Linked DNA regions of Daphnia pulex. The protein of the gene in region 1 interacts with the protein of each later gene in a biochemical or structural test. Links are inferred from orthologs where the notes say so. Each region holds a gene or a part of one and is shown in the gene's direction. Other genes may lie near its edges.

Region 1 (4,577 bases):
TAGAACTAACACCTGTTTGGCGCCAGTTAAAAATCAAGGATCGGTAATTTCTACAATCGATAACCATCATTATTAACAAAACTGGTTTCGTAACTATTCACTTCTTTTTAAAATATTTACAGTGCGGAAGCTGTTGGGCTTTCACTGCCATAGCGCCGCTTGAGTTCGCTCAATGCAAAAAGAGTGGTGCAAAAGTTATTTTGAGGTAATTATCATTTGGAGCAATATATTTGAGTCATTTTTCGTGTCAGTGTGGTGTGCGAAGAAAGGTTCGTTTCGATACAGGAATCTTTATAATCGCTGAAAAATGACATTTTGCTCAAATAGTTAACTATTTTCACTATTAGCGAACAACAACTGGTCGACTGCGACCCTAACAATGGTGGTTGTAACGGCGGATGGTATACAACCGCTTGGGAATATCTAAAGAGTGGATCAGCGAGACAGTCGGCCTATTCTTACACTGCTGTTGTAAGTAATTGATTTGTTTGTTTTTTTTTTAATTGAAAAAATCTTCCTATACCTTTTTATTATCTACAGAAAGGAACTTGCAAGTTTTCCACGTCCACGATTGGTTCGAAAGTCGCTACGTACGGTAGCGTTACATCCAAATCACCATCCTCAATGCAAGCGGCTCTCGTGAGATACGGTCCCCTTTCAGTGGCTATCACCGTCATCAACTCCTTTTACTCTTATAAGTAACTATATTTCCAAAAAAAGAAACACTTTTTTTGTTAAATATTTATTTAGCCTATTAATTATCTGTGATGTCGGATGAGAATTTGTTATTCATCTAAATTCTGTTTCTCCAATTCAATTTGTAAAATAGGAGCGGCGTTTACACTGATGCGGCGTGCGACAATAAGGGCGTGAATCACGGTGTGGTTGTCGTAGGATGGGGTAATCTTTCTGGAGTTGATTACTGGATTGTTCGTAACTCATGGGGATCCGGATGGGGAAGCTCGGGCTACATTTTAATGCAGCGGGGTGTTAACAAATGCAGTATCGAAACTTACCCAGCCGCTGTTGCATCCGTCGTCTGAAAACATTAAAAGGTCATCTTTTCTACGTAAACAACCATTGAAGAAACAAGTTCTTTTGGAGATTTTTCTTATTTATGTTTCACTGTCTGCAAATCTGTGTGGGTCACAGACTCACAGCCTTTTAGATGATGAGCGTGTTAATTTTATATAACTACTAGGTAAACTTGGGATACAATACACATAAATCAGCATAGATAAATCGAAATTCTGGCCTATTCTTTTCGCTTCTCCATAAAGAAATGTCTGAAATATGATCCTTCTCGAAAAAACCCCGTTTGAAATTCATTTTGTTTCACCTCAACGACAGGTATCGAAATTCGAGTTGTCTGCGGCGGTCTTAATTAATTCCAAAATATCACACGAACTACTAGTAATTTTAATCCGGATCTTTGAGCGTTAGAATTGTCTTTAGGTTCTGAAGTCTAAACAAGATAGACCTCATGAATTTTTGTTAAACATAGGAACCCCCCAAAAAATTAATTAAATAAAAATTAGTTGCACAAGGTTTTAGTTTTACTATCCGATCATAGAGGGCTTTTGTCGAGCAGCACATTCAGTGCGCGAAGTGTTGTCAAAGAATTTCTCTGCGTAAACGAAATAGCTAATTTTTTTTGCCATATTTGCCCGAATAACGAGAATTCGTTTTCAATATTAATTGCAGGTTTTGAGCTATTTACGTTCCACTGGTCAACGTAATTTCAATCAAAACGCGTTTTCCCAAATCAGGAATCGTACAAAGTTGTAAGCAGATAATGGCTCGAATTCCATTATGCTAGTCATCTGTGTCCCTTTTTCTTTCGGTCGCTTGAAGTTTATCAACTACTCACGGCCTTCCGATTGATTTCATTGACGTAAATTATAATCATTAAGCCAAAAGTAATTGCAACATGGCTGAAAATGGTAAAAATGATGGTGGCAATATCTTGAGGTATTTGGCAATTTTAATATTTAGATGTAACCAATACTAATGTTTGTTTTTGACATGGTAGTGCTGGGGACAGTCAAACACTGGACAAGCGTGTTGCAGCTCGTCAGTTAATCAAACGTTATTATTTCCAGCTGACTGAAGGATGTGGTGACCAAAACTGTAACAATGAACATTGTGCCTCTAGTAAAAAAGTTCAAAATCTTTCTCCAAACCAAGCTGCTGCTCAGGTATCAACATAAAAAATAATTTTAGAAGAAGCCAGTCATTGATTGATTATATTGCATAGGCTCTGGATTTATTTGCCCGCAAAGGAAGGCTTTGTGTTGGCACTGGCAAGAATGAACTACCGAGCACATTGTTTCCTGAAATTACACCTGCTAGTACTAGTGCCATCTCTGATCAGCAATTGCTCAAAGTATTTAACCAATTGTTTCATTTCAGTAGTCTCATTAATCAGGCTAGATTTCCAATTTGAAGCAGGGATTGTGGGTTCCTCCAGCTCTGAGTGTGTCTGGCCATCCTGCAAATGACAAATCAGGCATTTCCAAACCAACCAAGTTGACAGAAACAAATTTTAAGCAGATCGTTGACAATTGCAAAGAATATGGAATCTATTCAAAGCTAGTTCACACATTGGGACATGTCTTTGCCAATCCTGAGCTGTTGGGGAAGAGTTTTATTACGCAAGGAAACAACTCATGTACATCTACATTAGGACATGGCCAGCTAAGTAAAGAACAACTTCGCTCGATGGAGGTGGATTTGGATAAAGATAAAGACAGCCAAGAAGCCGTCGCAGAACCTCGTCTCCAGGACGTTGGCCAAGAAGTCAGCGTTGATATCTGTTGCGTCCGCCGATCATTCGAAGTCTTGAGCTCCATCGAGCCACAAAACTACGAAAGCGCCTTAGTTCACGCCCTCATTCTTCTATGCGAAACTATTGAACTGGATATGAAATTCGGGAGGCAAAAAGCTGAAGTCAATTTGCTCAACGTCTTCGTCATTGTTTTCGAACTACCGTGGCTTGGCACTGGTGACTACTTTGAAAGTGTTTTGCCGACCTTATGCCGCGCCTGCGCTCTTTTACCTCTAACCCAACAAGCCACTCTAGTCCGATTTTGGGCGGCTCACAGTGTCCCCAATCTAAGAAATCTGGTCCAAACACTTCAACAGCTCATTAGTTTTAGAGTGTTATCAGGAGATTTTGGGCGAGACTATGCCATCAATGATGACAATACTATTACTGCTTGTGTCAAGGTATAGTGGTTTAAATATTGTTTTGCAATGCTTACCCCTCTTATTCGTTGATTTTCCAATTTGTCTAACAGGTGATGCGAATACTGTACTGCGTCAACATATTTTCTTGTACCACACCTAGCAGTAAGTTGACTGGTGCATCAGTTGACGCGATGGAAACAGACGATCCTTCTAAAGATTCCTTCGATGTCTTTTCGTTTGGAATCGATCCTTCCCCTAGGTTGGGTTCCAAGCAAAACAAGGTAAGCTTTGACTGACATTTCGAAACAAAATTTGTTTTGATCCATTTTTTACTTTGCTAAATAGACAAGAAAGAATGATCCACTTATGTCGGAACTTGGAGTCAACGTTCTTGACTGTCGACAACCTCCGGTCGCTTTTGCTGACTTCTACAACGAACCGCTAAGTGATGTTGTTGAGATGGATCGTGATTTTGCCTACTTTGCCGCTGCCTCCGAAGCCCCTCCTTCGGCTTCCAACAATGCATTGAAGATTAGTTTCATGAACTTCCCATTCATTCTTACACCGGCCGCCAAAGCCCTCGGTCTCTATTATGATAACCGTATCAGAATGTATAGCGAACGTCGTCAAAGTATTTTCAACAGCGTCATGAACGGACAACCAAGTAATCCATATCTAAAGGTATTTATCCAATAGAGGTTTTCTATTTCTTAAAAAGATTCTAACTAAACTTACTTTTTTCTATCCCTATTTCACTAGTTGAAAATTCGACGTGATCATGTCATCGACGATGCCCTTATTGGTTTGGAAATGGTAAGTTTCAATCAGGGATCTAATTAGGAAACGTCCTTATTGACTAATTACTTACTTAACAGGTAGCCATGGAGAATCCTTCGGATCTCAAGAAGCAATTGGTGGTGGAATTTGAAGGCGAGCAAGGCATTGATGAAGGTGGTCTGTCGAAAGAGTTTTTTCAGTTAGTCATCGACCAAGTTTTCAATCCCGACTACGCCATGTTTGCCTTCAACTCCGACACTCGCAATTTCTGGTTCAACCCTACGTCGTTTGAAAGTGACGCCCAATTTACGTTGATTGGCATCATGCTCGGATTGGCTATTTACAACACGATCATTCTAGACATTCACTTTCCTATGGTTGTCTATCGTAAGCTTCTTGGTCGTAAAGGGACATTCGAAGACCTTCAAGAACTCGATCCAACTCTTTGGAAAGGTAAGTCTAATTTTCCTCTAAACAAGTCTAAGTTTATATTTAAAAGTTTTGTATTTTTGCGTGAAAAGGTCTGACAGAACTTCTGGAATACCCGGATTCTGACATTGAAGAAACACTTATGCAAACGTTTAGCATATCTTACAAAGATGTGTTTGGAG
Region 2 (4,126 bases), on another chromosome or scaffold:
CCGACGTCCAGCAAACGTTTTACGAATGTGCGCGCAATGAAAAGAGGACCAAATTGATAGAAATCCTTCGTGAATTGGGAGAAGCTAGGACTATTGTGTTTGTCGACAGCAAGAAAACGGCAGATTTCGTTGCTGTATTTTTGTGCAACAGCGATATCCAGGTAGAACATATTCGTATATTGTATTGAATATTTTTATTAAGTTTTCGTATAGGCTACGAGTATCCACGGTGACCGTCTTCAGAGTCAACGCGAAACAGCACTTCGTGAATTCAGGACTGGTATACGTAATGTTCTGGTTGCCACTAATGTCGCTGCACGTGGATTAGGTATATTTCTTTCTGTTTAAAATGTGAATTATGTTAAATCAAATTTTTCTAGATATTGAGGGCGTCAAGTACGTTATTAATTACGACCTTCCTGGTGATATTGAGGAATATGTGCATCGCATTGGTCGAACTGGTCGTGTGGGTAATGTTGGACAATCGATTAGTTTCTTTGATGTAGAGAAAGATGGTCCTAACGCGGGCAAGCTAGTTTCATTGCTTTCAAAGGTAAAGAGATAAAATGGTTTTGAAGTGTTATAGGTTTTTTCATGGAATATTATTTTAGTCCAATGCTGATGTCCCTGCATTCTTGCAAGCGTTGGTGTCCGGAATGGGTGGAATGGGTCTTGATTACAATGCACCTTCGACTCAGGGTGGTTTCGCTAGTCGTGACATGCGTCGGGTGAGTTAAATTTTCGATTGTAAACATTCTGGTGGTGTTTTTTGTTATATTGTTTTTTTTTTTTTTTATATTCAGTTTGGTGATAAACCTGTAGGAGGTGGCGGAGCTGAACGTCCAACCGAAGCTGAGGAGAGCTGGGACTAACGAACTTTCAACGGCGCCTCTTCATTATTCTAAATTTTTGTTTAACGTTTGGAGTTCTCCAAATTAAAAAAAGAAAAGAAATCTCATCCAAGAAAATCTTGGAATTCCCTTACTAAGAATCAATTTGTCGCAATGTTATTATGTGTTTATTTTTCTAACCCAGATTACGAATACAGAACAAATTTCCTTTGTTAAATTTTTTTCTATAAAAAACTTACTTACTCCTAAGCTTATTTGTTTTTCAATTGTTATTGCTGTGAAAGACTAAACTATAGTAGGGGAGGAAATTTTGATGAAATCGACTTGTTTTATTTGAATCTTTAAATTATAAAACTAACTTAAAAGTACCATGCTCACTTGGTATGCATGCAACTTTCAATTTTGCAAAGGCGTGTATGCAAATTAACCTGGAGTACATGAAAAGTAATAATCGCTTACTATTGCGCAATTATCAAATGTAGCCAAAAATTCGCGATCTCCACGAATTTGGGGTGATGAAGATCGCATGTAGTGTAAAATCAGATGAATTGAGGGTTTTACGATACTTTCTTATCAACAGGAAACTGATCTCAGATTTTACACGGACACGGAGATGTTCAAAGTAACTCCCCGCGAGCAGGACAAGGAGTTGAGTTGATAAAAGTTTTTGAGTGCAGCCTAGCGGCCAAGATAGGAACCCAGGAAATATTATTCATCTTCAGTTCTTCACCGATGGTTGCTAGAAAAGTCTACTGATTAAAAGACACAATAAAAGAAGAAGCTAGGCAACTGTAGTTCCCAAAGTTGTTACAATAAATTGTAATGGATCTTGAAGATCGTGAACTCAGTCCTCAAAATACAGAGAAGCTAGTCCAATTTCAGGTAAGAAATCGACTTATTCATGTATATATTCGTCATAAAATGTTGAAAGTAAAAGTGTTAAGTAAATGTCTCTTTATAAAGGAGTTGTCTGGAATCGATGATCTGGACAAATGTATGGAGATTTTAGAGAGGCACAACTGGGATGTAGAGACAGCCATACATGATCATCTTGGTCTAGATCCCAGAGAAATGGCTCAACCTGCCAGGGAAATGCCTGTATTTCCTCTACAAAATGGACAACCTACTGTCCACAGACCTCTCCCACAGAACCCACCTAGAACACAACCTGTCGACTCAGTTATTCAAAGGATAATGACTTACTTCTTCAACCCCTTCCTTGATGACAACACAGGCCTTTTTCCATTGCCAAACCAAAGGCCTGATGGGTTTACAGGATGGCTGTTTTTCCTCTCATCTCTTCCATTAAGAGTTGTGATGGTTACATTTTATCATTTAACCCGTTTTGTCTTCAGGATCATCAGACCAGAAAACCGACCAGGTATTTAAATCTCTACTTTCCTTCAAAATTTCCTTTCTAATTGTGTTTCTGTTAATCCAATAGCTGTCACAGATCCAACAGGAAATGTCATTTCCTTCATTCACGAGTATAATGAAACATTTGGAGATCAACACCCAACTTTCTATCCTGGAACCTACAGTCAGGTTCTCAATGAAGCTAAAAAAGATCTTAAATTTTTGTTGGCATACCTCCACTGTAAAGACCACCAAGACACAAATAAGTTTTGCCGTCAGACGCTCTGCAACCCTCAAGTCATAGAGTTCATTAATAGCAATTGCTTAATGTGGGCGTGCAGTGTAAATAGTTTGGAAGGCTACCGTGTCTCGCAAGCGCTTCGAGAGAATACTTACCCATTTTTGGCCATTATTGTTCAGAGGGAATTCCGTATGACCGTCGTTGGGAGGTACACGGGAAAAATTTCTGTTGCAATATTGAAATCGATTTTTAACGATCTTTTCATGATTTCATTTGCAGAATTGAAGGATTTATTGAACCAGATGCCCTAGTTCAACGTTTACGAACCACAATTTCAGATAATGAAGCTTTTCTAGTGGCCGCAAGGGCAGACCGTGAAGAACGTAGTTTTAACCAAGCTCTAAGGTTAGAGCAAGATGAAGCTTATCTCGAATCGTTACGAGCTGATCAAGAGAAGGAAGAGAAAAAGAGACGTGATCGTTTGCTTGAAGAAGAACGTCTTAGGGAGATTAGAGAGATGGAACTAGCCGAAGAACGAAAGAAAGAGGTAAGGACGACAAGTATATCGCTATCCAATCCGGATTTAATTTTACCCACCCTTTGTAGGAAATGATCCGGAGGAAGCAAGAAGCAATTAACTTGATACCGCCAGAACCCGCTGCCGACGAATCCGGAATTTGCCGTATTCTGATCCGATTACCTAGAGGGCAGAAACTAGAACGGCGCTTCCATCGAACAATCCACACACTCAAAGTAATTTTTTCTCATGGCCATTTCAAACCTTAAATCCATGACCATATAAAATTTTTTATCTGCTAATTATTTCGCAATAGGATCTGTACTATTTTATTTTGGCTCATCCCGATTCTCCATATCAATTTGAAATGGCTACTTCTTTCCCTAAGCGAACGTTACCATGGCAGCCCGACATGGATACTTACCCGACGTTGGCAGAAGTAGGTCTTGGAGCCTCTGAAGCTCTTCTCGTCTTGGACTTGGATGCTTGATCAGTAGAGTTAAAAAATAATGTGTTTACAAAAACCTTTACCTACTCTTGCCCCCAAATTTTTCTTCAATTTCACATTGACCCGGTATTAAACCGCCATAAAAGTATCATGATCATAAAGAAAGAATAAAGAATTTCCATATATATTTTCTGTTATTTCCTTAATTTTGACCCGAAAGCCAGAAAAACCGGCAAAACAGCACAGAGCGACACCTGACAAGCCCCGGCTATTTTGTTAGCTATTGAATAAATTTTGCATATAAATGTCTAGGAAAAAAGGAATTTTGAACAAAAGAATCAAGAAGCTTTAGTGGAAATGAGGAAAGGGGAGCGGTTGAAACCGAACCAATCAAGAACAAAATAATTGGGTAAAAAAAATCAAATTCAAGGAAAACACTGGGGGGGAGGGGAGATGTGGGGTGTATGGGAGTGTAGAGGTTAAGGGCCCTACTAGAAATGAACATAAAATGTCTTCATTAATTTTCCTCTTCTCTGGAAAGTTTTGGTTTCACAAGGACAACACACGCACGGAACAATAATTTATGATCGGGAAAAATAATAATAAAAAAAAAAAAAATAGGAGAAATGAAAAAAAAAAAAAACAACGAAGAGCTGTCTTTACTACAGACCAGGAAAAATCCCAGAGATTCTCGGAGAATTTACAACAGTTGC

Evidence for each region.
Region 2: of the proteins of ubiquitin-protein ligase E3A-like (region 1) and FAS-associated factor 2-like, one has a biochemical effect on the other in vitro, tested with the Homo sapiens proteins (2 studies listed by BioGRID). The link is inferred for Daphnia pulex from reciprocal best matches to the Homo sapiens genes UBE3A and FAF2.

Annotation. Positions count from the first base shown.
Region 1 is NC_060025.1:1,159,527-1,164,103, reverse strand, and holds the start of ubiquitin-protein ligase E3A-like, read left to right. Parts: upstream 1-1,553; 5' UTR 1,554-1,631; exon of another isoform or gene 1,632-1,704; 5' UTR 1,705-1,930; coding exon 1,931-1,971; intron 1,972-2,032; coding exon 2,033-2,198; intron 2,199-2,257; coding exon 2,258-2,386; intron 2,387-2,433; coding exon 2,434-3,228; intron 3,229-3,299; coding exon 3,300-3,470; intron 3,471-3,534; coding exon 3,535-3,870; intron 3,871-3,948; coding exon 3,949-4,002; intron 4,003-4,064; coding exon 4,065-4,419; intron 4,420-4,487; coding exon 4,488-4,577. Other genes in the region: crustapain-like, read left to right, coding at 1-43, 123-205, 348-471, 541-698, 830-1,043. UniProt on the Homo sapiens protein: E3 ubiquitin-protein ligase which accepts ubiquitin from an E2 ubiquitin-conjugating enzyme in the form of a thioester and transfers it to its substrates.
Region 2 is NC_060019.1:5,817,643-5,821,768, forward strand, and holds FAS-associated factor 2-like, read left to right. Parts: upstream 1-1,448; 5' UTR 1,449-1,673; coding exon 1,674-1,733; intron 1,734-1,814; coding exon 1,815-2,232; intron 2,233-2,295; coding exon 2,296-2,656; intron 2,657-2,727; coding exon 2,728-2,995; intron 2,996-3,054; coding exon 3,055-3,201; intron 3,202-3,281; coding exon 3,282-3,455; 3' UTR 3,456-3,598; downstream 3,599-4,126. Other genes in the region: ATP-dependent RNA helicase vasa-like, read left to right, coding at 1-161, 214-328, 381-553, 612-728, 804-872. UniProt on the Homo sapiens protein: Plays an important role in endoplasmic reticulum-associated degradation (ERAD) that mediates ubiquitin-dependent degradation of misfolded endoplasmic reticulum proteins.